Xenopus tropicalis: one gene and its partners. The protein of the gene in region 7 purifies or fractionates together with the protein of the main gene of each other region. This does not show direct contact. Links are inferred from orthologs where the notes say so. Each region holds a gene or a part of one and is shown on either strand. Other genes may lie near its edges. The genes, in order: e2f4, lin54, rbl2, rbl1, mybl2, lin52 and lin37.

Region 1 (2,838 bases), on a different chromosome or scaffold from region 7:
AGGCATAGTTTCTTTTATGTTTTCCTAAAAGATTTTTTTGTTAAAATCCCATTAAAAGAAGCAAAAAAAAAAAAAGCATTGTGCCATGATTTATCTAAAGGCATGGCTTTTAAGCATAAACCAGTGTGCCGTTTGTATGTGTCCATATAAGTATTAGCTTGCAGTAAGTACATTTTCACAGAATAATGTAAGGATCTAATGTCTGCTATGGTGTGCCCTTACTCTCAAGTATCTGTGCTCTGTGGTGCTAAGGCTACTGCCATATACAGCAGTTTCTCAGCATGCATATAAGCACAGGCACAGAAACAGTCCCTCCGCTCTCTGCAGACACACTGCAGTTTGTTTATCAACTCTGGGCACTGAAACCTATAGCAGTCAGTTATTGGCTTTTTTTTAGCCAGCTGCAGGTAGAACAATGAATGCAGCAGTTTGATTGGTTGCCATAGGTTACTGCCCACAAGCAAATTTGCCCAGTGGTGAAATGACCCCCAGCGTATTTTAGTGCAGAAACGCATCACTATGCATTTACTGCCTAATCAGCTTCTTGTGTTTGCACCCAGGCCAAAAGTATTGTCTGCAGCTGCAAACACACTATAGAGCAGATTGGAGCCAAGAGGCTGTAAATGCAGGCCGGACAGCTAAATAATGGATGACCACTGCAGAGCTGATAGCAAACATGCTGCAATAAAACTTGAACTTTTGCTTAAAGTAAAGATTTATTATACATATTATATAAATAAGCAGTTCTTCTAGTCAAATAATTAACGTTTTTGGTGTAATTGGCTCTTTAAATTGCATATTCTAAGAGCCGTGGCAGATGGGGAGATTAGTCGCGGGCAACTAATCTCCCAGATATGCCATCTCCACTGACTTGAATGTAAATCACCAGTGGGATGGCATACGTGACGCCGCGGGCGACTAATCTCCCTGTCTGCCATGGCACTTAGGGGCAGGTTTATCAAAATGTGAGATTAAAGTTTACCACTGAAAAAATTACTGTGATTTTTAAAAGTGTGTTTATCAGTGAATGAATAGAAAGTGAATGAGTTTTTTCTGTGGTAAACTCACATTTTGATAAACTTGCCCCTTAGGGGCAGATTTATCAAATCACGAGTTCGAATCCCAAATGGGAAAAATTCGGATTGGAAACGAAAATTTCTGAAGATCGCAAATATCACGAAAATGCTTACGAAAAAATTGTATTAGTCACGATAATTTCGTATTGGTCACAAAATGTGCGTACCGTACAATTTTAAACAGCGGTAAAACCTTTCCAGTTTTTTCGTGCAAGCGTATGGGGAAAAGTCGTGCGGCGTACGACAAAATCGTGCGGACGCCCAAAAAATTCAGCGAAAAAACGCTCTGAGCGTTCATGCCTTTGTTAATGTGCCCCTTAGTGTTGGTATGTAGAATGATGTTGGTTGTATAGGTATAGATTTGTATTAAGATACAGTCTCTCTATATAAATCATATCAGAAGCACTTATGACTGATACCACTGCTGGCCCTGTATGTGGGCACCTGCTTATGCTTGAAAATACTCATGATTTTTTTTTTTTTTTCAGTTTTTGCTCCTCTGCTCAGACTTTCTCCTCCTCCTGGTGATCACGACTATGTCTATAATTTAGATGAAAGTGAAGGAGTTTGTGACCTCTTTGATGTACCCATCAACCTCTGATATTTTGAACTCGGCTTTGGGCCTTATTTGTGAATAAGAACTTTTTTGTTGTCTTTTATGAAGAAATGTTTCTATTTTTGGATATCCGCGTGAGTTGTTACGGAAACCATACCAGAGACATTGCAGTGCAAAAAGACACTTAACTCCTCTCACTGTGAGAATCCGCTCATAACTTTTCCATCCCTGTGATGAGAGGACTGCTTGGCAAACCCTTCATAGAGGTTGTCTGTATTGATCCAGCTTTATTAAGTCCATTACTACATCTGACAGAAGCTTTTCACAAATTTCAAGCACTTAACATTTTTGCTGAAGTACATAATATTTGGATTTTTGGCTGAGTGTGCCTCAGTATTTGGGCTTAGAAGTTCTTAAGTCTGTCCAATAATATAGTAGGTGTGCAGTACCATCCTCCATAAACAAATGGTTTTCCATGCAGTAACCGTAAAAAATAAGCTTGGTTGTCTTTTATTATGCTCTGACCTCACTCACTGCCAAATCGCTGCCAGTCACTGTCTAGCTAATTTACCTAAATGAAAGAAGATGTTGATATGAAATTATTTTTCTACATACATTTGCTGCGCCACATGAACTATTTGTAATTTTTGTTTTCTACAAAATAAACCCGTATTTGCCAGTAGCACTTTAGGGATGTAAAAACAAACACCCAGAGCAGCTGTGTGACTTTGTTGGGGTGAAAGTGGTGAGATTCAATACAAAAGCTGTGCAGTCCATTTTAGTCCAAATGATACACAATGATTGCTGGCACTGGAGTTGTATGGAATTGAATTATATTATAAACTTGTGCTTTAGAAAGAATATTATAGTGTAAAGAGTTACCTATTTATAGTCACTTCTATGACCGAATATACGTTAAGATTGGCATTTTCCTTTGCACATAGCTTTCATATATTTGTAATATGTTAGGTGACATGGTACCATGGAGATATGTTGTTTCTCCCAGACAGAGATCTCCTTGTTTTTAATACCAGTGCTGCTCCACCTGGATCTCAGTCCAACGTTTAAGTAGAATATTAGGACTTAGTCTATGTTGATTTAAATTGATTTTATTTAATATACTGCAAATATATAATATATATAATGTAATTCCAGTGTCAGTAATCAAGGTAAGGAATATACTTTCTGCAAAAGGAGTTCCTTGGC
Region 2 (3,500 bases), on a different chromosome or scaffold from region 7:
TAGAGGGTTAAGACTTTACAGTGGGGCCTACGGAAATCCATCGGATGAGGACTGCATCAGTAATCCAATGTGTTGCTACATCCAGTGTTTTTTTCCAAATCTGCCCGATTGACTGTTTTCACCCAGATACTCTTCAGCCCCATTTGTTGTCCTACATACACAGCCCAATAAGTCGCCAACTTGTACAATAAAAAAACTGCAGCCTTGTTCCCTCCAGAACATATAAATAATCTTTTTTTTTTTTTTTAAAGAATAAGTCAACTTTTTTTTTTTTTCTATTAATAAAATTACTCTAAACAGCTTCCCAGAATTGCCTACCTTTGTCCCTCTGTTCTTTCTGACCTGGTTCCTCAGTTACAAGCTGCTCTATTCCTCTCCTTCCTTGTTCAGTGTGAAGCTCCGCCCCCACTTCCTGTTCAAGTCTCTCATTACATAGACTACCTGTAGTCCAAGTGGAGAGCCTTCTGCGCATGCCTGGAGGCAGCAGGAGCCAGTCTGTGCATTAGCAGGTTTTTTTTTTCTTGATGAGACCCCTGAACAGGAAGTGGGGGCGGAGCTTCACACTGAGCAAGGAAGGAGAGGAATCGAGCAGCTTGTAACTGAGGAACCAGGTCAGAAAGAACAGAGGGACAAAGGTAGGCAATTCTGGGAAGCTGTTTAGAGTAATTTTAATAATAGAAAAAAAAAGGTTTACTTATTTTTTAACTTCTTTTATTGATCATAAACATCAGCATCACATTTTGGTATTTTTCTCTTGTTAACATTGGTATTGTTCTTAGGTTGAGTTTTGTTTTTTTATAACAATAGTTATGACCATTTCAGAAAGAGGTGAAGAAGAGAACTTATCCCAGTAGAACCCCACTGCATAATAAATAATGCATCTTTAACAACTTCTTACTTTAATATTAATAATGTTTTTTTTTTTTACTGTAGATCACCTGCTCTCAGAGGTTTAGAATGGATGTGGTGTCTACTGATGTTAACAATGTCCTCCCTGATGAGATTATGGAGACAGGAATTTCCTTGGTGGATGATGACAGCATTGAAGCTATCACAATATCCTCGCCTATGGTGGATGAAGCCCCCATGGAAACAGAACTGGAGCGCATTGTGGAAGTGAGCAGTAGTGGTGAATGTGTTTCTACAGCAGTAGTGAAAGAAGCAGTTGCATCAACTAGCAACAATGCTGGACACTTAGCAGTGGTTAGTGTTGCTTCAAAGCCAGAATCTGGACCTTCAGCCGCAGCCATGAAAACTGTATTACAGACGCACTTTCACAAACTGGCTACTCCTATATCTGGTCAGGTGGTACTTAATAAGGTTTCACAGGCTTCTGATCTTACAGCCGGAAGTCATGTTGTGAAGCAGGAAGGGCAGAAACTGATTGTTACAACTCTGGGAAAATCAAGCCACCCCATTGTTCTGACATTGCCACAGAGTCACATTGGAAATGCACAGACACCAGTTACTCACGTTCAACGTATAGAATCTAAAGTGACACCACAGCAGATTAAGCTTGTAACCATCGGTGGAAACAGATCTGATGGAAATCCTGTCCTTGGAATGTCTGCATTAACATCTGCACAAATCATCAGCCCCTCTACCAAGTCCCCAGTGTTACAGACCCAGCAGATCAAGACTTTACAGGTAGATTTAATTTGAGGAAAGTGATGCTGTCCTGAATCATATGTGCTTTTTATTCATAAGTTTTACAGTTGTCACCCTATTTGTGGTATTAGCTTGCCAGCTAATATGTTATGTAGCATAGATCAAATAAGATTCCAGAAATGTAAAATCTGTGGCGCTGGCAGTTTGATACCTGGCAGATCATGCAATAGGTTTTATTATTATTCAGAAAAGGAAGTACATAATGGGCATAATCAGTTAATGAGCTTGCAAATGTATCTGTTTTGAGAAAAGATGCAAACTCACAGGGCTTATGAAATGACATAGAATAATTATTGGTAAGCGTCTAACATTTCAACTGTTGCTACAAGCCTTTCTTACCTTGAAAAAGGGTAGAGCAACAGCTGAAATTTTAGTAATTTACCAATAAAAGTTCTGTATCACTTTCACTGTATCTCACAAGTATTTAGTATCTAAAAGACAAGTAAATCGTTAGAGTATTCAGGAGAAGATGCAAAAATATCTGCCAGGAAAAAGCATATGGTGAACATGATTGATTCAGGGACTGGTCCAATTGCCATCTTGGAGTCAGGAAGGAATTTTTTCCCCTCTGCGACAAATGAGAGAGGCTTCAGTTGGGTTTTTTTTTTTGCCTTCCTCTGGATCAACATCGGGAGCCAACCTGACTGTCCTATCTCAGCCTGTCATTTTATAGCTTCTAATGCTAACCTACTACTGATGCACAAATTTGGCAGCTCCCTCATAGAGGAACATGGGAGATCAGAGAGGTAATTTAAAAGCATTGGGCAAATACTTTTTAAGGCAAATTATAAATATCCTGGAAATACAATTTTATGGAAAAAAAAACAGATACTTGGACCAAAAATTAAATGGGAAGGAAAGGTAAAAATTACTTTTACATTCCCACAGCTTTAGTATTAAAGCAACTAAATAAACTGAATGCATACAGCCAATAGGAAGGCTTCTGCTTATGTCATATTAGCGTAGCGTAATGGCAATGTAAGTTGTGATGTAACAATGCTCCCTGCACTGCCTAGGGAAAGATCCTCCTAATTCAAATTAGGTATGTTTTACCAGGCACCTTCAGCTACTTAGATCTAAAATGAAAGCGAAAGCTGCATTAGCAAGCTTAGGGGAACATTATTTAGAGTATTATGAGTAACACTTAACAAAGGTTTACTTAACCCCTTTAATATTCTAAAGTGCTACTTTAAAGTCTCCACTTTTTGTGAATTTTGTCTTTTAAACAGAACGTTTTCAGATTTTGTCTTTTAGATTACATTTTAACAACATGTTTTATGAATTTGTCAGTGTGCCATCAAACCCAGTCTCATATCTACAAGCTGGGCTTTCTAAATTTTTGTGTATTTCCACTTTAAGGGTCTAATACCAAAAAAAATTGCATAATATAGGGATATATATCACAAAAATATTGCTTTACATGTGAACATTTAGAAATCTGCATGTTTCATAAATGTGCCAAAACCAAATATGTATAGTTTTATGGAGATTTCTGACTTGTATGTTTCAAAAGCTCAAATGTGCCAAAATTTCAAAGCACCACCACAGAAATCAACTTTTTTTTACGCTACTGTGCCCTTTTTTTGACGTGACCGCGCCTTTCACTAACAGCGAAATGAGGAATTCTGCTGTGAATCCATGTCTGGGGAAAGAATTCGCTCATCGCTAGTGCCAGTGTGCATGTGCCGTTTGTTGATCACTGAGATGGTTGCTGGGAACAGAATTGGCACAGCTAAAGGTGGTGGCCAATGCTGTCAAGCAACTCTGTACTTCTGGACATGCTATAGGGGCACCGATGACTTGGGACTTTATCAATAAAGTGATTAAAGAGG
Region 3 (3,964 bases), on a different chromosome or scaffold from region 7:
AAGGACACACAGACATTGGTAGCCAGGGCCCCCCTAAAACATTGGTAGCCAGGGCCCCCCTGCATCCTCCAGCTCACCCCCACATCATACTCCAGCTCCCCCCCAGAGTCCTTCCCAGCATCCTCCAGCTCCCCCCCCAAGCATCCTCCGGCTACCCCCAGCTCCCATCAGAATCCTCCAGCTCCCCCCCAGCAACTTCCTGTGGCTCCCCGCTGCATGTGCACAGCTCACCCCCATTGTCCTTCTGCTCCACCCCCAGTAACTTCCTCCAACTCGCCCCCAGCGACTTCCTCCAGCTCCCCCCCAGCAACTTCCTCTGGCTCCCCTCAGCTTTCCCCCACCGCAGCGACTTCCTCCAGCTCCCCCCCCCTCAGATAAGTGAAAAGTACTGAGTAGCAGATCTGGATTTATACAAAGGCCAGGGCCTAGGGCAACATGCAGACCAGCTGCTGCTTCTAAATTTGGACTGAAGGACTAGAGAAATGCCCCACGCACTGACTATAGAAGTGGGCATGCACATGACTGCAGAGACGGGGGTCTAGGGTGCACCCTCTTTGTAAATCCGGGCCTGTTGACTAGGGTTGCCACCTGTCCAGTGTTTTACCCGCCTTCCCAGTAATAAATTATGCTTGATGCCAACGTTATTAATAGAGAAAGACGAATATATGAATTCCTGTAATTTTTTTTACTTATTATGATCCCCATAGCATTTAAGATGTGAATGTTGGTAAAACATGTTATGTCCTAAATGCAAACATTGCATTGCATTTCTAAATTATTTTCTTTTTTATGAATCATACAAATTACTGGATATGTTCATAAAGGGCTGGGTCCCCCGTAATTGCCATTGATACTGTGACATTCCTTCAAGTCGATTTGTTCACTCATTTTGGACCCCCTGTGAAGTAAAGATGACACAGCCCATATAGGAAAACGTGAGTGTTAGTTTAGAAAGCGTAAAAGCAGGATGGCCTCCTCCTCCAAAGAAAGTATTTACATATAGGAACAGTGGGGCTTAGTTGAACTAAAACTTTCTTTTCAGGAAGGAACATAACGCACGCGTACTAACAGAATAGGGCGGCGGATGCTGCTATGTTGTTTATGAACAGAGTAAGAGACTAGCAGGAACTAGCAAGTATCTCAATCGGCAGCGATAAGGAAAGGAAAAGGCCGACCTCTGTGTTGTTTTGGGCGGGGCTACGCTACGCATTTTCCCCATCTATATTAGAAGAACAGTGTCCTACGCTAGTAGGCCTTTCTAATTGGTGACGAGAATATCAAAGCGTTGCTGTCAGTCATTGCCATTTAAATGGCTGCGCAGTGTGAGATGTGGAAGTGCACCGTTCGGGTGGCGGAGGGGACATAGCCGGGCAACTGGAAGGTCTGAGGATGATCAAGGAGGAAGAAGAAGAAGGGGAAGGCAAGCAGGCAGAAGAACAGCTGCGCTGCCGCTATGACGAACTCTGCAGCAGCCTTAATATGGATGAGAGGGCCCGGGGGGAGGCCTGGGAGTATTACAGTAGGATTAGCCAGAATTATACTCTAGAGGTGAGAAATTCTATTTTTTCATGGGCTTGATGAATGCCTGACCTGCGGCCCTCCTACTGCTGTTGGTGCTACTCTGCTCTCCCAGTCTCCGCTACAGGGCATGCTGGGTATGGTAGTACAGTAACAACTGGACTGGAAAAAAAACAAACAGCGTCGCTGCAAGCTTTGGCTTATTAGCAAATAACTGTAGTAGTGCGCTGTGGAGGTTTTTGCATCCCAGAAAATATTTTCATTGCTTTTTTTTAGTTTATTTCACATTATTTAGCATTTCACCTGGATGCCTATGCTGCATGTGTTACAGCTCCTTATCAGATACGGGAAGGGATGAAATGGACGTGGAGTGCAGTAGTCTGTCATAGCTATGACTTTATTCTGATCGCTAATAAGTACAAAACGGTAACAAAAAAGTGCCTTGCGGGGCAGGAGACAAGAAGGAACTGATTGCATGAGCTTACAATCTAAAGTAGGGATCCCCAACCTTTTTTACCTGTGTGCCACATTCAAATGGAAAAAGTGTTGGGGAGCAACACAAGCATGACGAAAGGTTCCTGGGGGTGCAAATAAGAGCTATGGTTGGCTACTTAATAGCCCCCTCTGTGGACTGGCAGCCTATAGGAGACTCTGTTTGGCATTATACTGGGTTTTTATGCAACCAAAACTTGCCTCCAAACCAGAAATACAAAAATGAGCACCTGCTTTGAGGCCACTGGGAGCAACATTCAAGGGGTTGGGTAGCAACATGTTGCGCACGAGCCACTGGTTGGGGATCACAGATCTAAAGGTTCAGGGAGGGACTGACACATGAGGCTGTTGGAGGATGTGTACAATAATTAACATCTTTCTGATTTTTTTTTTTGTGGAAGATAATTAAAAATGATTAACACGGTATTTACAGTAGTTGCACAACTCTGAATTTCTGTGTTTTATAAGCTGAGAAATCTGCCTAGTTATTTTCACATCCTTTTGACAAGCTATATGGAGTGCTTACTTACTGTATTCTCATCTAACTGAGCGTAGTGCAGATCATTATACCAGCTAACTTAAACTTGGAGTTATGCTACCTGTATATATATATATTAACATGCTGTATATTAGCAGCTTTGACTTGATGGCTGCTGTTTGTTTTGGTTGTGATGAGGAGCAGCTTAATGCAGTCTCCTTGGAGATATGTGGACCTTAGCAATTCAGCTGTTTAATTACTAGGGCTCTTGCAGACTGTGTTATTTATATTCTAACACTGTATCCAAGTAACTAAAGCAGAGAAGTGCTGTATATTCTTCCTTTTTTAAAAGAAATATGATACCTTGAAAATATTTTGTGTTAATCTGAACTAGGTATAGTTCAGATATAGTATAGTACTATTTTATGCAGATCTATAGTTCCCTCTTAATTCTTATGAGTTTGTTTTGTACATATCCCTCCTTTTGTGCGCCATCACCAATAAACCTACAAATTCAAATGTGGGATGGAATACTTTTTCACTAGTAAGTAACTGTAAATTAAACTTACCTGCAGCGCATCAGGGAAGGGAGACCGGAGGATTTGTGGCGCACCCTGCGGGGATCGGGTTGGGGCCGCAGGGGCTCACCAGGTTTGTTCCTGGTGCCCCGGCCGCCCAGTTCAACCCTAGATAAATCAATGGGTAGATTTTCATTAAGTCTAGGGAAGGCTAACCCTTTCCAAACCTGTCTGGCACCTAAATTAAAAAGTGGAAAGCTCTTTGCATTCCTGCAAGGTCCGATACCATTGTTACCAGCTGCACTCTGATTGGATTTTTTTGCTTGCAGCTTCTCCAATCAGAGGGCAGCTCTTTTTACAGACAGTACACTCTCTATCAATCAAATGGAAGGTGGGGATGGAGAGATTTCAGGAACTGAAGGTACTTGGAAGCATGGGTAGGCAGAAGAGGCACCTGCCTATGGCGCAACGGTGTGGCCGCGCCAGGCAGGTGGTATTTCTTTCACCAACCACTAGTTCCGGGCCCTTTCCCCCCCCTACTGTAGTACCCCCCCGCCAGTGGCCCCGGCAACCCCGCCACCCTGTGTGTGCACGCGCGCCCACGTGGGGGATAAGGCGGGCCAAGCCAACCAGGTTGCCCAGGGGACTCAGCACTGCTTGGAAATAAGGATTTACAAGAAACATATGTAAGGTTTTACGCTTTTCCTGCCAAGCATGTATGTGATACATGTTGCAGAAAAAGCCTTTGACTGCCAAGCATATATCACATACGTTCAAGGGCCCAAACCTCTAGGTAACGAGCCAAGTCAGTCTTGTGACGCGATTGTTGGAGGGCCCGACTTCTACCACCAGAAACGGTCGCACTCGTGTCTGCTGTTAGAGCTTCTTCCTACTACCTCCCTGAGTCCGCCCTGCAATCTAGGGACCCTCATCGTTTGAAAGGACCCTCCTCACTAAA
Region 4 (3,500 bases), on a different chromosome or scaffold from region 7:
TCCAACCTTAATCCCTTTTAGGTAATAGAAGTGTTTATTCGTTCCGAAGATGGGCTGTCACGGGATATGGTGAAACACCTCAATACCATTGAAGAACAGATTTTGGAGAGCCGTGCTTGGACCAGCGACTCGGTTCTCTGGGTGCATCTTGACGCTGTTGATAATGTGCCAACCTGTGAAGAAGTACGTTCAATATGGCCACACCTGTCCTTTCATTACTTCTTGCTCAATAAATACAGCACAATGATCGCAAAAAACTAAACTTGTGTTGGTTTCTTAACATAATTGAATAATTGTGACACAAGTTTAGTTTGGTACCTTTGTGTTACAGATCGCTAAATGCTATACGATATCAAATGACTGGATAGACACAGCACAGAATAGTCCCAATCTGTGTATTTTTATTTCTGGACAGCAGTGTTACTGTTCCCTTATACAGAACAGTACAGGCTTATAGCTTAGTGTTTGCACAAAACATACCTTCCTTGTATATTTGAATCATACGTATGGTTAATAAGCTGCCGTCTTTCCTGCCAGTGCTCAGGTCGGTCTTTTCCTTATTTGGTGTTGAAACAGCACCACTGATCATTTAGATCATTAGAACTGGTTTTTATTTTTTGATTTAAAACTGAAGAGGTTTTCTTTCATTTCATAGGTAATCATACCCAGCAACTTTGAAACTGGGAATGAGGCTGGGGTGGGCCACTTGCCCATGATGCCTGCATCTCCCATTGTTCATCCTCGGTTGAAAGAAGTTCGAACTGACCTAGGAGGATCGTTCAGGCGAGGTGAGAAACTGGGTCGGAGGGTTATCCACAAATTAAGAGACCATAAAATTATAATAAAACTGCACTTGGGAGCAAATGTTTAATGTTGTGGGGTTTTTTTCTGGGGAATAATTTGATATAATATCTTATAAGTTTATGTACTTTGTTGATGCCCACTATTTGACATTCTCAGTTTGATAATGATTTTTCACAAGATAATTTGGGGAAGGATGGGCTGAAGTTGCAACCCTGTACTATTTGCTGCTTCTACTTCACTCAACAGCAGAGAGTGAACAGAGAAGTAATTTTGCCATAAGAAATGGTTGTATGTGTTTTATTCAGCAGTGTGAATGGTTGTTTTCCAAGCTTTCCTTTGTAGCATGGATAGAGATGTATTTCAGTGTTTTTTGTTTTTTTTTTCTTTTAGACTGCCAGCCACTCTCTCCAATTTCTGTTCATGACCGCTACAGTTCACCAGCTGCTGGCAGTGCCAAGAGGAGGCTCTTTGGGGATGACTGCCCAAGGGAGCAAACTGTGGACAAAATAACCACACCTGATATCACCCGCATAAGGATTGCATTAAGCCCCTCTCCTGATAAAACTGCCCAGTCTATTGGGCAGACTATTGCTATACCTGTGCAAGGTAAATACTGGTGCTTAAAAGTGAAAGCTTTATTCTTAACCTTTCTAGGATTGGACACGTTAGTATGTCAGTGACCGTTTTGGCTTCTGTTTCTGATTAATTTTTCAAAGTATTTGTAAAAGGCCACTTGGTATAACATTTGGGCCAGTCTTATAACAGGGTTACAGATAGGAGCACCCTGCTATAGTTCCAGGGGTACCCAGGGCACAAATAAGCACTCACCCCAAATCCCCCCCTAACTGGCCTTCAGGCTGGGCCCCCTTAGCCCATAACAAGGTTACAGATATATAGAAACATTGGGGTAACAGTCACCCTGCTATAGTTCCAGGAGTACCCAGGGCACAAATAAGCACTCACCCCAAATCCCCCCCCTAACTGGCCTTCCGGCTGGGCCCCCTTAGCCCATAACAAGGTTACAGATATATAGAAACATTGGGGTAACAGTCACCCTGCTATAGTTCCAGGGGTACCCAGGGCACAAATAAGCACTCACCCCAAATCCCCCCTAACTGGCCTTCAGGCTGGGCCCCCTTAGCCCATAACAAGGTTACAGATATATAGAAACATTGGGGTAACAGTCACCCTGCTATAGTTCCAGGGGTACCCAGGGCACAAATAAGCACTCACCCCAAATCCCCCCCCTAACTGGCCTTCAGGCTGGGCCCCCTTAGCCCATAACAAGGTTACAGATATATAGAAACATTGGGGTAACAGTCACCCTGCTATAGTTCCAGGGGTACCCAGGGCACAAATAAGCACTCACCCCAAATCCCCCCCTAACTGGCCTTCAGGCTGGGCCCCCTTAGCCCATAACAAGGTTACAGATATATAGAAACATTGGGGGTAACAGTCACCCTGCTATAGTTCCAGGGGTACCCAGGGCACAAATAAGCACTCACCCCAAATCCCCCCCTAACTGGCCTTCAGGCTGGGCCCCCTTAGCCCATAACAAGGTTACAGATATAGAAACATTGGGGTAACAGTCACCCTGCTATAGTTCCAGGGGTACCCAGGGCACAAATAAGCACTCACCCCAAATCCCCCCCCTAACTGGCCTTCAGGCTGGGCCCCCTTAGCTCAACACATATGGGTGGGAGTATTGGCTTTTTATCTGCTGGGGGGAAAATGCCAAGTTTGATATTAGCCTTTTAATCCATTACTGCTACTACTTCTTAGGTTTAGCGAATGAAAGTGTCAAAAGCCTTTTTCTACCAATGAAAACGTCTCCTCCACAAAGTGAAAATTATGTTCCGGTCCCTTTGACTGCGCAAGCACTGATTAGCCCACTTACAAAGCGTCAGTTGGGCAGAATGCCGGAATCCTGCCCCACATCAGCGCGCAAGCCCAAGAAAACTGGCTCTCTGGCTTTGTTCTTTAGAAAGGTGAGCTCAAATATATTCAAAATTATTTGCTTGTGACTTCACGTGACCCTTTACCTGCCGGCGATGTAGGTTCTCTGTTTCTACCTTTAAACGACACTGTCCATCTAATAAAAAAAAAAATTAGAAACCTGTGAACTACAATTCCCAGAAATCCTAGTTTAGGCCGAGAGTTGAAGCTAAGCCAGTAAGATGGATGTTTACCCACTACTGTAATAATGCTTAGTGCTTAGTATCATGTTCTTTTGGGCAACTATGGAACTTTGCAGCCATGTACTTTGTACTGTAGGTCTATCACTTGGCGAGTGTCCGTCTCCGTGACTTGTGCCTGAAGCTGGATGTGTCCAATGATTTGCGCCGAAAGATCTGGACTCTGTTTGTGTACTCGCTGGTCCATTGCACTGACCTAATGAAAGACAGGCACCTGGATCAGCTGCTCCTCTGTGCTGTGTACATTATGGCCAAGGTACGTTTTATCTAAGCTTTAGTACTGCACGGAAGTGGATTATCTCTTGTGAAATGACATCATTCTGTTTACATTGTAAGGGGGGAAAAAGTTATTTTATTTATATTTAGTGCAGAATGTGCCATCAGGAATTGGCCAGCTAACTTAAATCCATACCTTTTAAATGAGAAAGAAAGGTATTTTGGCATTTTACTGCCAATAGATTAGTCATTAGTGCCACCTAGAAAGCTATATATTCTGCAGAA
Region 5 (3,500 bases), on a different chromosome or scaffold from region 7:
TAATCTCTAAATAATCATCTTTACAAACATGCATAACAGTGTACAGGTATATGCAGATACCTCTCTTCTGTGGGCAAACGGTTTAACCTGTTGACTCAAAAACATTTCCCTAAAGGAGAACTAAACCCCTTTCTGTGCTACGACTAAATTGGTGCCTAAAGCCTAGCTACCTGGTACCAGCTTTGTAACTGTAGAGTAGTGAACTGGTGTTGGGGACTATCATCCCTGGCTGCATCTGGATCTGTGACATTGCAAAGAACAAGCATGTACAGCGGCAGCAGATCTAATCCTGGTTTCCACCACATATGCTCCTTGTAGACAATCAGGGCCAGGGACACAAACTGGATGTGAAGCAACTAGGGATGCACCGAATCCCAGATTTGGTTCGGTTTCGGACAAATCCACGGTACCAGCTGAACCGAATACTATTTAGCATATGCTAAATTAGCATTCAGAAAGGGTTAACTGGTCAGGGGTGGAGATTTTTTAGCCCCTTCTGATCCTAATTAGCATATGTTAATTAGAATTTGGCAGAATCAGTCAGGGTGGGTTCGGCCGAACCCAAAAAAGTGGGTTTGGTGCATCCCTAGAAGCAACTGCAACCACACTGCAGTTACATAGAAGGTATGGGGACAAGTGAACTTTTAGCTGCAGGCAATGATGTCATCAGGAGGGAGAAAGGTGGCCCCTGTGGGAGGCCAAACAGTTGAAAATGCAGAGGGGGTATAGTTCTCCTCTACCTCACCTGCACTATTGCGGGCTTTGAATATCCTGAAAATGCTTTCCCACCAGCAACGTAAAGCACCACTGCGGGAAACATATATGCCGCTTCAAGTTTTTCAAGTAGCCCCAAAATCTCCTTACGAGGTAACTTTTGGCTACTTCGCAAAGCAGAAGTGATGCAAATGTTTCCCCACAGTGTGCCACTGCCCTTAAGATGAAGGAACACAGGGCATACTGCATCCAGTGAAGGAGCACCCAGATCAGTCGCTGCCCCCTCTTATTCACAAAGTACAATGCTATAGTACATGTCTTTTCAGCCTTAGAAGCACTGCTAAGGTTATCAGTATCAAACAGGCACACACTCCAGATGTGGAGTAGCTAATTAGCAACTGAAGATGCATTTTTCATTGCTTTATAGCATCCAGTCTTGTCTGCAGTAGGCATGCAAATAAACTGCTATTCAGCCTTTCAGCAGGAGGCGGGCTGGCTTTAGATTTCAAATGACAGACCTAGAAAGACTTCTAAGTGATGATAACTTAGCATGTTCTTGTGCCAGCCCCATGCAGGGACTAAATGGGCTGTTCCAACCCTTAGGCAAGTGTAACACTGTGCAGATTCTCAGCCTGTGGGTAAAGGCAGCCCCAGAATCCACCACTACGCTTAAAAAAAATCTGATAGTTGTGGCAGCACCAGGAGCCACAGAGCAATATTTTGCCGAATTTTGCTTAGTGGGGCTGCAACCGAGCAGACACCTAGCAGATTTTCCAAGTCCAGGGATGGATTCTCAGCTTGCATTTAAGCCTGAGAATCTGACCAGTGTGGCAAAAGCTATGGCCCTGTGGCCAATGAGCAAATCATACTCTGGGGCCCACAGAGGCCCATTAGACAAGGACCTTTACTTGTAGGTAGTCTGATTAGCCAATGGTCACCATTAGACAATTTGCCAAGTTTTCTTATGGCTACATGAGCAATCAGCTGTACAGGCAAGTGTAAACAATACTGTTATTTAAACCTAAACAATGGGTTTCAAAATATCCTGATATACAAGTCAAAAGGAAACAGAGTGCCTGTTTACAAATTATCAACAGCTTAGTTTAACTTAAGTTGGTCAGGGTGGGAGTGAGAAAACTGTTTTGAAAGAAGGTAAAATGTTTTAGGAAAGCCAATTATTTCCTTAAACAGGTAATGTTTCAGTTTATTCTTCCCCCAGGACAGTATATTGAAGGCTTAAGGCTGCTGTACACATTTCAGCTTTGTACAGTGTCTGATTGGCCTTTGGGTTAGATAGATACTGTATAACAGTGATCTCCAACCAGTGGCTCATGATCAACATGTTGCTCCCCAAACCCCTTGGATGTTGCTCTCAGTGCCCCCAAACCAGGTAGTTATTTTTGAATTCCTGACTTGGGGGCAAGTTTTGATTGAATAAAAACAAGGTTTACTACCAAATAAAGCCCCCTGTAAGCTGATGTGTGCATAAAGGCTGCCTAATAGCCAATCACAGCCCTTATTTTGCACCTCCATGAACTTTTGATGCTTGTGTTGCTTCCCAAGTCTTTTTACATTTGACTTGGCTCACGAGTAAGAAAGGTTGGGGATCCCTGCTGTATAAGATGCTATGCATAGTATGGCCACGTTTGCACTGTTTAGACAGCCTGAACAGTTGAAGTAAAGAGGAGTTTAACAGGCAAAGGTGGGTTTCTCTTACCTCCCAGGAAGCAGCTTTGCTATTTCAGCCCAGCGATTTCCCAATACTTTATGGGCTTGGCATATAATTCTGTCCTCTTCCTCTGTCCATGAGGACTTTTTCACTTCTGGATTGAGGTGATTGTGCCATCGTTCGCGGCACTGTTTGCCCATGCGGCCTTTGAGCTGCTTAGCAATCAGGGTCCAGTGTTTGGTGCCATACTTCTTCACTAATTCTATCACCTAGAAAGAATTATCAGAGGTAGACAAAGTTCAACGTAAGCCACAAGGATGTTGAGCTCACAGCATCCCTCCAAAGACTACAAAAGAATTGTAGTTTATCAGGGCTGCCACACCAATAATAATATGTATTCCCCTATTCAGATACCTCACTTCATACCTTCTCATCTTCCTCTTTTGTCCATGGACCCTTAACCAAGTCAGGATGAAGAACACGAAGCCAGCGGTGCTGACATTGTTGTTCAGTACGATTCTGGAGGAAAAACAAAAATGTAAACACCTTACTAAAACATTAAGACTAAGGAACAAAAAGACAGTGCTTATTGTACTAAACCTTTGCTCACACCAAGTAGTGCCATCCGATGTCTAACAGCGCTGAAAGGGCATAAACACCTCTCCATTAAGCCATAAGATTTCTGGGTTCTATTTTCCCTTATGGGGAAAGGCATAACCAGCATATACCCTAATATGGAATTAAGATGTATAAAAGGGGGTAGTAATGGAAATAAATGTTAACAAGAAATAGGGAGTTTTAAGTGTACATAGACTAGCTCGTCATCAGTTCAGAAAGTGTCCCCTGATCAAAACAGCCATAAAACCATTGTAGGCCAAAGGTAACATCTGCCCAGGGCCAGCAAATCAGATATACTTTAACAGCAGAAGACCTACTTTATATGAGGTTTTTATCCTATTGGTGTATGTTGAAGACACCAACTGACATTTCACACATTTTTGCCTAGATGTCAGCCCTAATGCAGTCGTGCACCAAAAGAATCACAAGCTGATGCTGCTTTAATGCCCAGTGCCAGAACCGATGCAGTTCCCATGACTTGCACTTGATTTTTATATGC
Region 6 (4,251 bases), on a different chromosome or scaffold from region 7:
ACCAGTGCAGGGCCACAGTATGTTATATTTCAATTACTTTAAAACACTTTCATTTTTTGGTGTTACTGTTCCTTTAAATGCCAAAACTATTTTTGAATAGTCAACTAAGTGAAATCTTGTGACTTTGTGACCTTAGCTACTTACTTCCCACTGGTTTTAAAGGGGCAGTGTCACCTCTAGCTCAAAATCAGATCAATAAATAGTATGGTGTTTGTTTATACAAAGCTTATTGGCCCTATTTAAACTCAGTTGATAGCGGTTAAAATAGGTAGATAAAGTAAAAACTAAATAATAATACATAAGTATACTATATTATACATACATTCTATTTATCTTGCTTGTGTTGAAAAAAGTGTAAAGTTCATTTTTTTGTTTTAATCATTGTATTAGTATTCAAGAAAACATACAGGTGAACGTGGAATCTCATTCAAAATAGAGAGATCATAAAAGGTAAGCATTGAAAAGTAAACAATTACAATCTTACATAAAACTAATTGTAATAATATTTAATATATTAAAGTTACTAGAGTTCAAGAAAAAATTTGTGCCAAGTATTATTTTCATGGCTAGGATTACGTATAGTAGGAATCCATTTTAATGATAAAGGATGTCATGTATCTTATCTCTTTCCTTATTTTCCAAGCTTTGCAAATATTTTCCATTTTGATGTAAATTTTAAATGGTGTTTTCAAGCTATCGAATCTGAAATGAATAGTTTCATTTTTACAAAGATTTAGTTCTGCTTAAATGTCAGTGAATGAGGGAGGGGAGGACTCAATCCACTATTTAAATATAACTCTTTTAGCTGCAACCAAAGTCAATTTGATGTAATTCAGAATGTGGAGAATTCCAGTCTTTAGACTTGCCTGTGATTAAGTGCATCTTTAAACAGAGCTCTTTTCCATTTAAAAGTTGGATCTAGGCTACAAACCATCCAGTGTGATATGTAAAAGCATGTACTAACAGCTAAGTAAATAAAGTGTTTGGGTCATATGAACAAATCCATTAGTACAAATGAAAATCTCTATGAATTTCACTCATTAAAGGATGATAAAAGCTAAAATCATTGGCAGGCTCCAATTTGTTAGTCATCCCCCCATGATTATATTTACAGAGCAGAGACCCAAAGCTTGCATTTTTTCTGCAGAGTGTGCCATAACCATTTTTCCCTGCTCTTTCCAAAGCTCCTCTATTGCCCTGGGTAAGCAGAGTCCAGTAATTGTTCAGTGAGTTTTGTACTGTGCACAATGTGAACAACTTCTCTTGTTGATGATTACAATCATGGGGGGTGGCTGACAACTTGGCAACCCCAGTGAATTTTGCTAGCATTGTGTTTTAAGAAGGTATCATGCTTGCAAACCATGCTTACTACTTGCAGAGTATAATTTGAGAAAAAAAATACGTAAAAGCCACACAACAGGTTAAAACTGGTATAATTCCCCTTGTAAACTATAGCTGTGAATGCGTTCAAAGGGAAAAAAACAAGTTAAATTGAGCGTTATCCATTAACTATTGCAAGTAAACTCTCACTCATACCCCACAAAGATCTCAGCACATAGATTTGAGGTAACAAAAACAGTATAGACCTTTGCTCAAACGAAGTAAAATAAAGAGGACATATACTCTTGCTATTCTTTTAAAAGATAAAAAAAATCTTATTTTGGTAGGGTTCTGTTATAAAGTACCTCACTCTTCCTAAACCTGTATGCAGGAGAGTTTATTTCTGCAAGGTTTTACTTCTTCTGCTCTTACTGTATCTTTTTTTCTGTTACCATTTTCAAGTCACTCCCACCTGTAGGTATAGACTGGCTATCTGTGGATCCAGGGGAATGCCAGATGGGCTGCTGTTAGATGCCAGACATTTATTAGCCAGGTGGGGGCTGTTTGGGCATTACACCAAAAGGACATTACACCAAAAGGATCTAGGCTATTCATACAAAACAAGCTAGATTTTAACTTTTCTTGTTGGCAAGGTGTATTCACAAGAATACATTTTCACACACTAGAGTAACCAAGTAGCATTGTGGTAAAGTGGTCGGAATTCTTGCCCTTCTGTGTTAGGGTTCTGGGTTCAACTCACAAAGCTTTTACACAAATTTTTTACATGTATGTTGATAGGAAGAGTTTGGGTTTACGTAGTATACTTTGGGTCATTAGGATTAGGCTAGACTGTATAATACTTTTTTCATGAGCGTGAATATCTCGTATATAATTTTGGGACATTAGGTTTGTGATTATGATAATGTTTAGCTAAAATAAAGCACTCTTTTCTTTAATTGCCTTTAGTAGCTTGATCACTGAGCTATATCCACACTAGGATCTAACAGCTTTACGCATGTGCACTATGCTACATTCGTCTATGAGTAGTAGTATTTAGGTTAATGTCTGTACATTGGCAACATCCCAAATTGTGCAAGTACACCTTCCTACAAACTAGACGAAGCCGAAGGCTTGTACACTTTCCACCTGATGTCAATAGGAAGCCTTATTACATGTGAAAAGTAAAAGAAGGATCAGTTCATTGTCTGCGGCTAATTATTGACATGGCTAGGGATCACCAGAGCAGCACAGAACATCGCAATGCATTCACTGTTATTTTCAAGGTTTAATGATAAACTCCCAGTACTTTCTCGACAGAGTAACCATGCGCAGCGGGAACACACATCGGCTTTACCCTGCTGCTAGAAGCAATTATCGGATACATATATGTAGAATACTTTCCTCTAAGCCCATTAGTGTACCTACAAATTAAAAACAACCGCTTACCATCCGTAACTGCCGCCATTTTCTCACTTGTCACGTGACAGAAATAGACTTAAACATTCCATCTTGGTACACCCAATTTGACGCTCTATACTTAAGCGCCATATTGCTGCACCCACCCATAGCTTACACAAACGTCTATTTTTTAAAGACTAAAGTTAACTTGTACAATAATGTTTTAACCATTAAGGCATGGTGCGATGCACTGCCTTTTTGCTACATCACTTTCCAGACACCAAGAAGGCGTCATGTTCCTACACATTTTGTCGATCGTAAAAATGGCAAATAGCGGTGAAGATCCAAGAGTCATCACGTGACAAATATGAGCCAATCAAGGCACACATAGTAGGGCACCAGTCGGTCAAACCTTGAGTTAGCGCACAATCGGTCACTATTTCTGGCAGGCCAATAGGAAACACTTTTTAAGGGGCCGTGGCATCATCAGCCAATGGCGGGGTAGAGGTGTGGCTTCTTGTCATTCAGTCTCTGAGAAGCTCAGGGATTCTGAAGGAAGCATGATGCGGATCAGAGGAATAGTGAGGGTGAGTGTGGGCTAGTACATTGACATGAGTGAGTGGGGGAGAGAATATCCCCAGGTACCCAAAATAAATGGGTGTTCCCAATAGACGAATGAAACTATATTATGAAGGTGCTATTTTACAAGCAGGGCTACGTTGATATGCGCGGATAAAGGAGGCTGGGATTAAGAGACTGATGGTCGGTAGTGACTCAGTGTTGGGGGTAGTAAATTGGGCCCCTGCATTAGAATTTTGCACCGGAGAGGATGGGTCACTGCCCTTTCTCTAGAGGCCTTCATAGTTCGTGTATTGGTATGCCCAGCCCAGGCCTTGCCAAAAGTCTTGGAAGGAAACTAAGATTCAAGTAGTGAACCAAATAGTGTGAGGATTGATCTGGTATTCCTATTGATTAATATTAATCTGATATACTCCTTTGTTAAGTTTTGGATAATTTACTTTGCAAAATTTGGTGCTTTGTTGGGCTGCATATCATTGCACATGAACACTCCCATGTATATAAGGCGATATATCAGATATTCCCAGTGGGTGCTTAATAATGTTCAGTGCTATGCAGCTTATGCTGAGATCCTAATAAGAAGGTATACTTCAGAAAAATACCTATATGGACTTGCACACTGATTGCCAGCAGTAGGTTATGTGGGCATTGTTGGCAGCTAATGCCTGCTTTGTGCTATATATTAGCATAGGAATGGATAAACTGTTGATTATCTAGGGCATGTGTGAAACACAAGGCCCGCGGGCCGAATCCAGCCCGCCTGGCTGTTTTATGTGGCCGATGGTGACTGTGTCTGAACATGCAGCACCTATCACCTGACATCACTGCTCCAGTCCCAGTGGTGCTGCACGGTCAGGCATGGTTGACCCTCAACTTGGCCTGTGTTTTAGATTTCGGCCCCTTATGTGATTGAGTTTGACACCCATGATCTAGGGCTACCTTTATGGGTGATGA
Region 7 (4,192 bases):
CCCCTCAAGACTGCATGCCAAGGGCCCCCCCCCCCTCAAGACTGCATGCCAAGGGCCCCCCCCCCCTCAAGACTGCATGCCAAGGCCCGCCCCCCTCAAGACTGCATGCCAATGCCCGCCCCCCTCAAGACTGCATGCCAAGGCCCGCCCCCCTCAAGACTGCATGCCAAGGCCCGCCCCCCTCAAGACTGCATGCCAAGGCCCGCCCCCCTCAAGACTGCATGCCAAGGCCCGCCCCCCTCAAGACTGCCTGCCAAGGCCCGCCCCCCTCAAGACTGCCTGCCAAGGCCCGCCCCCCTCAAGACTGCCTGCCAAGGCCCGCCCCCCTCAAGACTGCCTGCCAAGGCCCGCCCCCTCAAGACTGCCTGCCAAGGCCCGCCCCCCTCAAGACTGCCTGCCAAGGCCCGCCCCCCTCAAGACTGCCTGCCAAGGCCCGCCCCCCTCAAGACTGCCTGCCAAGGCCCGCCCCCCTCAAGACTGCCTGCCAAGGCCCGCCCCCCTCAAGACTGCCTGCCAAGGCCCGCCCCCCTCAAGACTGCCTGCCAAGGCCAGCCCCCCTCAAGACTGCCTGCCAAGGGCCCCACCCTAAGTCTGCCTGCCAAGGGCCCCCCCTAAGTCTGCCTGCCAAGGGCCCCCCCATAAGTCTGCATGCCAAGGGCCCCCCCTAAGTCTGCATGCCAAGGGCCCCCCCTAAGTCTGCATGCCAAGGGCCCCCCCTAAGTCTGCATGCCAAGGGCCCCCCCTAAGTCTGCCTGCCAAGGGCCCCCCCTAAGTCTGCATGCCAAGGGCCCCCCCTAAGTCTGCCTGCCAAGGGCCCCTGTAGCCCAGCTAACACCACATAGCAGGCGCAACTCATTGGGCTCCACTGTAGGACCGCAGATTAACACCTCTGGGCGCAATGAGCACAATGGAATAAGGAGAAATCCACAGGGCGATGCTGTATGGTTGGTAGCTGAGGCGTACTGGGGAAGCCATAGCGCTAATAACTCCCAGTAAGGCGCAATGGGAACGTACCTGGATATTCTCTCACACCTCTGTACTGCCGGGAGTTGTAGTTCCCCGCCTACATACGGACACCAGTACCAGCAGCGCCCAATTCCCTATATTCCCCACATTAGAACAGGGCCATGATATCCTGTCACTCCTGATACTTCCGCCCCTTCCCGAGAGTCAAATCTACCGCGCTTCCTGCCGCCTGTCTCCTAGCAACTGTCAAGACGCAAAGCACGACGGGAGAACAACTACCCAACCGCTTCCGGCCCTCCCGATTCCCGTCATGCTCTGCGGCTGCCTGCCAATCAAGCGCATCAGCTGAGCGGATGGGAAACAAGGCAGCACGGCAATGGGCGGGGCGTAGCGGGATGCTCTTCTGTGATTGGTTAGTACTGAATGACGAGCAGCTCGCAAGAGAAGCGCATTGGCTAAACCAAGAAAGCGTTCGCCCAATGACAAAGGGAGGGGGCGGAGATTTAAGCGCAGCGCGGACGGTTCGGAGTCGGTAAGTTCTGTCAGTACCAATGGCGGCGGGTTGGGTTTATGGTTCGGAGGCTTGTTTAGCGGGACCGTGTAGGGTACATGGAGCAGCTGCAATATTGAGTATCTGTTTCCCGGTATTCCCTTCGTGAAAATAACTATAAAGATTAACTACAACTCCCAGCGTCCCCTAAAGGGCCTTCGCCTTTTTAATGGCAATAGCAGGGAGAACAGCCTTTCCTAAATGGCTCTAGTTGGGGAGATCATGAACTACAACTCCCAGAATCCCCCAGAGGCTTCTGCAACATTTGGGGGCAACTTTATTTATCTGTCAAGAATTTGTCCTTTCATAAATCTGCTTCCTGAGGGGATCCCAGTGTGTGTGAGACTGACCCCCAACTGGAGTGCCCCAACCAGGCCCCCATCAGCCCCTGCCCCCCAACTGGAGTGCCCCAACCAGGCCCCCATCAGCCCCTGCCCCCCAACTGGAGTGCCCCAACCAGGCCCCCATCAGCCCCTGCCCCCCAACTGTAGTGCCCCAACCAGGCCCCCATCAGCCCCTGCCCCCCAACTGGAGTGCCCCAACCAGGCCCCCATCAGCCCCTGCCCCCCAACTGGAGTGCCCCAACCAGGCCCCCATCAGCCCCTGCCCCCCCAACTGGAGTGCCCCAACCAGGCCCCCATCAGCCCCTGCCCCCCAACTGTAGTGCCCCAACCAGGCCCCCATCAGCCCCTGCCCCCAACTGGAGTGCCCCAACCAGGCCCCCATCAGCCCCTGCCCCCCAACTGGAGTGCCCCAACCAGGCCCCCATCAGCCCCTGCCCCCCAACTGGAGTGCCCCAACCAGGCCCCCATCAGCCCCTGCCCCCCAACTGGAGTGCCCCAACCAGGCCCCCATCAGCCTCTGCCCCCCAACTGTAGTGCCCCAACCAGGGCCCCATCAGCCCCTGCCCCCCAACTGTAGTGCCCCAACCAGGCCCCCATCAGCCTCTGCCCCCCCAACTGTAGTGCCCCAACCAGGCCCCCATCAGCCCCTGCCCCCCAACTGTAGTGCCCCAACCAGGCCCCCATCAGCCCCTGCCCCCCAACTGTAGTGCCCCAACCAGGCCCCCATCAGCCCCTGCCCCCCAACTGGAGTGCCCAACCAGGCCCCCATCAGCCCCTGCCCCCCAACTGTAGTGCCCCAACCAGGCCCCATCAGCCCCTGCCCCCCCAACTGTAGTGCCCCAACCAGGCCCCCATCAGCCTCTGCCCCCCCAACTGTAGTGCCCCAACCAGGCCCCCATCAGCCCCTGCCCCCCAACTGTAGTGCCCCAACCAGGCCCCCATCAGCCCCTGCCCCCCAACTGTAGTGCCCCAACCAGGCCCCCATCAGCCCCTGCCCCAGTGAGCTTACAATCTAAGGTCCCTATCCCATTCCCATCAGTCCCTGCCCCAGTGAGCTTACAATCTAAGGTCCCTATCCCATTCCCATCAGTCCCTGCCCCAGTGAGCTTACAATCTAAGGTCCCTATCCCATTCCCATCAGTCCCTGCCCCAGTGAGCTTACAATCTAAGGTCCCTATCCCATTCCCATCAGTCCCTGCCCCAGTGAGCTTACAATCTAAGGTCCCTATCCCATTCCCATCAGTCCCTGCCCCAGTGAGCTTACAATCTAAGGTCCCTATCCCATTCCCATCAGCCCCTGCCCCAGTGAGCTTACAATCTAAGGTCCCTATCACATTCCCATCAGTCCCTGCCCCAGTGAGCTTACAATCTAAGGTCCCTATCCCATTCCCATCAGTCCCTGCCCCAGTGAGCTTACAATCTAAGGTCCCTATCACATTCCCATCAGCCCCTGCCCCTGTGAGCTTACAATCTAAGGCCCCTATCCCATTCCCATCAGTCCCTGCCCCAGTAAGCTTACAATCTAAGGTCCCTATCCCATTCCCATCAGCCCCTTCCCCAGTGGAGCTTACACTCTAAGGTCCCTATCCCATTCCCATCAGTCCCTGCCCCAGTGAGCTTACAATCTAAGGTCCCTATCCCATTCCCATCAGTCCCTGCCCCAGTGAGCTTACACTCTAAGGTCCCTATCCCATTCCCATCAGCCCCTTCCCCAGTGAGCTTACAATCTAAGGTCCCTATCACATTCCCATCAGCCCCTGCCCCTGTGAGCTTACAATCTAAGGTCCCTATCACATTCCCATCAGCCCCTGCCCCTGTGAGCTTACAATCTAAGGTCCCTATCCCATTCCCATCAGTCCCTGCCCCAGTAAGCTTACAATCTAAGGTCCCTATCCCATTCCCATCAGCCCCTTCCCCAGTGGAGCTTACACTCTAAGGTCCCTATCCCATTCCCATCAGTCCCTGCCCCAGTGAGCTTACAATCTAAGGTCCCTATCCCATTCCCATCAGCCCCTGCCCCAGTGAGCTTACACTCTAAGGTCCCTATCCCATTCCCATCAGTCCCTGCCCCAGTGAGCTTACACTCTAAGGTCCCTATCCCATTCCCATCAGTCCCTGCCCCAGTGAGCTTACAATCTAAGGTCCCTATCACATTCCCATCAGCCCCTGCCCCAGTGAGCTTACAATCTAAGGTCCCTATCACATTCCCATCAGTCCCTGCCCCAGTGAGCTTACAATCTAAGGTCCCTATCCCATTCCCATCAGCCCCTGCCCCAGTGAGCTTACAATCTAAGGTCCCTATCCCATTCCCATCAGCCCCTGCCCCAGTGAG

The links.
Region 1: the proteins of lin37 (region 7) and e2f4 purify together in Homo sapiens (co-immunoprecipitation; 4 studies listed by BioGRID and IntAct, with this or other methods). This does not show direct contact. The link is inferred for Xenopus tropicalis from reciprocal best matches to the Homo sapiens genes LIN37 and E2F4.
Region 2: the proteins of lin37 (region 7) and lin54 purify together in Homo sapiens (affinity purification with mass spectrometry; 4 studies listed by BioGRID and IntAct, counting the BioPlex papers as one, with this or other methods). This does not show direct contact. The link is inferred for Xenopus tropicalis from reciprocal best matches to the Homo sapiens genes LIN37 and LIN54.
Region 3: the proteins of lin37 (region 7) and rbl2 purify together in Homo sapiens (affinity purification with western blotting; 5 studies listed by BioGRID and IntAct, with this or other methods). This does not show direct contact. The link is inferred for Xenopus tropicalis from reciprocal best matches to the Homo sapiens genes LIN37 and RBL2.
Region 4: the proteins of lin37 (region 7) and rbl1 purify together in Homo sapiens (affinity purification with mass spectrometry; 3 studies listed by BioGRID and IntAct, with this or other methods). This does not show direct contact. The link is inferred for Xenopus tropicalis from reciprocal best matches to the Homo sapiens genes LIN37 and RBL1.
Region 5: the proteins of lin37 (region 7) and mybl2 purify together in Homo sapiens (affinity purification with mass spectrometry; 6 studies listed by BioGRID and IntAct, counting the BioPlex papers as one, with this or other methods). This does not show direct contact. The link is inferred for Xenopus tropicalis from reciprocal best matches to the Homo sapiens genes LIN37 and MYBL2.
Region 6: the proteins of lin37 (region 7) and lin52 purify together in Homo sapiens (affinity purification with mass spectrometry; 6 studies listed by BioGRID and IntAct, counting the BioPlex papers as one, with this or other methods). This does not show direct contact. The link is inferred for Xenopus tropicalis from reciprocal best matches to the Homo sapiens genes LIN37 and LIN52.

The regions. Positions count from the first base shown.
Region 1 is NC_030680.2:76,512,126-76,514,963, reverse strand, and holds the end of e2f4 (transcription factor E2F4), read left to right. Parts: intron 1-1,564; coding exon 1,565-1,677; 3' UTR 1,678-2,338; downstream 2,339-2,838. UniProt on the Homo sapiens protein: Transcription activator that binds DNA cooperatively with DP proteins through the E2 recognition site, 5'-TTTC[CG]CGC-3' found in the promoter region of a number of genes whose products are involved in cell cycle regulation or in DNA replication.
Region 2 is NC_030677.2:85,272,412-85,275,911, forward strand, and holds part of lin54 (protein lin-54 homolog), read left to right. Parts: intron 1-933; coding exon of another isoform or gene 934-957; coding exon 958-1,647; intron 1,648-3,500. UniProt on the Homo sapiens protein: Component of the DREAM complex, a multiprotein complex that can both act as a transcription activator or repressor depending on the context. In G0 phase, the complex binds to more than 800 promoters and is required for repression of E2F target genes.
Region 3 is NC_030680.2:49,460,512-49,464,475, reverse strand, and holds the start of rbl2 (retinoblastoma-like protein 2), read left to right. Parts: upstream 1-1,164; 5' UTR 1,165-1,389; coding exon 1,390-1,548; intron 1,549-3,964. UniProt on the Homo sapiens protein: Key regulator of entry into cell division. Directly involved in heterochromatin formation by maintaining overall chromatin structure and, in particular, that of constitutive heterochromatin by stabilizing histone methylation.
Region 4 is NC_030686.2:42,369,892-42,373,391, forward strand, and holds part of rbl1 (retinoblastoma-like protein 1), read left to right. Parts: intron 1-21; coding exon 22-183; intron 184-655; coding exon 656-788; intron 789-1,194; coding exon 1,195-1,410; intron 1,411-2,586; coding exon 2,587-2,792; intron 2,793-3,078; coding exon 3,079-3,255; intron 3,256-3,500. UniProt on the Homo sapiens protein: Key regulator of entry into cell division. Directly involved in heterochromatin formation by maintaining overall chromatin structure and, in particular, that of constitutive heterochromatin by stabilizing histone methylation.
Region 5 is NC_030686.2:39,928,692-39,932,191, reverse strand, and holds part of mybl2 (myb-related protein B), read right to left. Parts: intron 2,903-3,500; coding exon 2,810-2,902; intron 2,653-2,809; coding exon 2,432-2,652; intron 1-2,431. UniProt on the Homo sapiens protein: Transcription factor involved in the regulation of cell survival, proliferation, and differentiation. Transactivates the expression of the CLU gene.
Region 6 is NC_030684.2:81,969,152-81,973,402, reverse strand, and holds the start of lin52 (protein lin-52 homolog), read right to left. Parts: upstream 2,801-4,251; 5' UTR 2,786-2,800; coding exon 2,767-2,785; intron 1-2,766. Other genes in the region: aldh6a1 (methylmalonate-semialdehyde dehydrogenase [acylating], mitochondrial), read left to right, coding at 3,279-3,305.
Region 7 is NC_030683.2:128,883,153-128,887,344, forward strand, and holds the start of lin37 (protein lin-37 homolog), read left to right. Parts: upstream 1-1,392; 5' UTR 1,393-1,498; intron 1,499-4,192.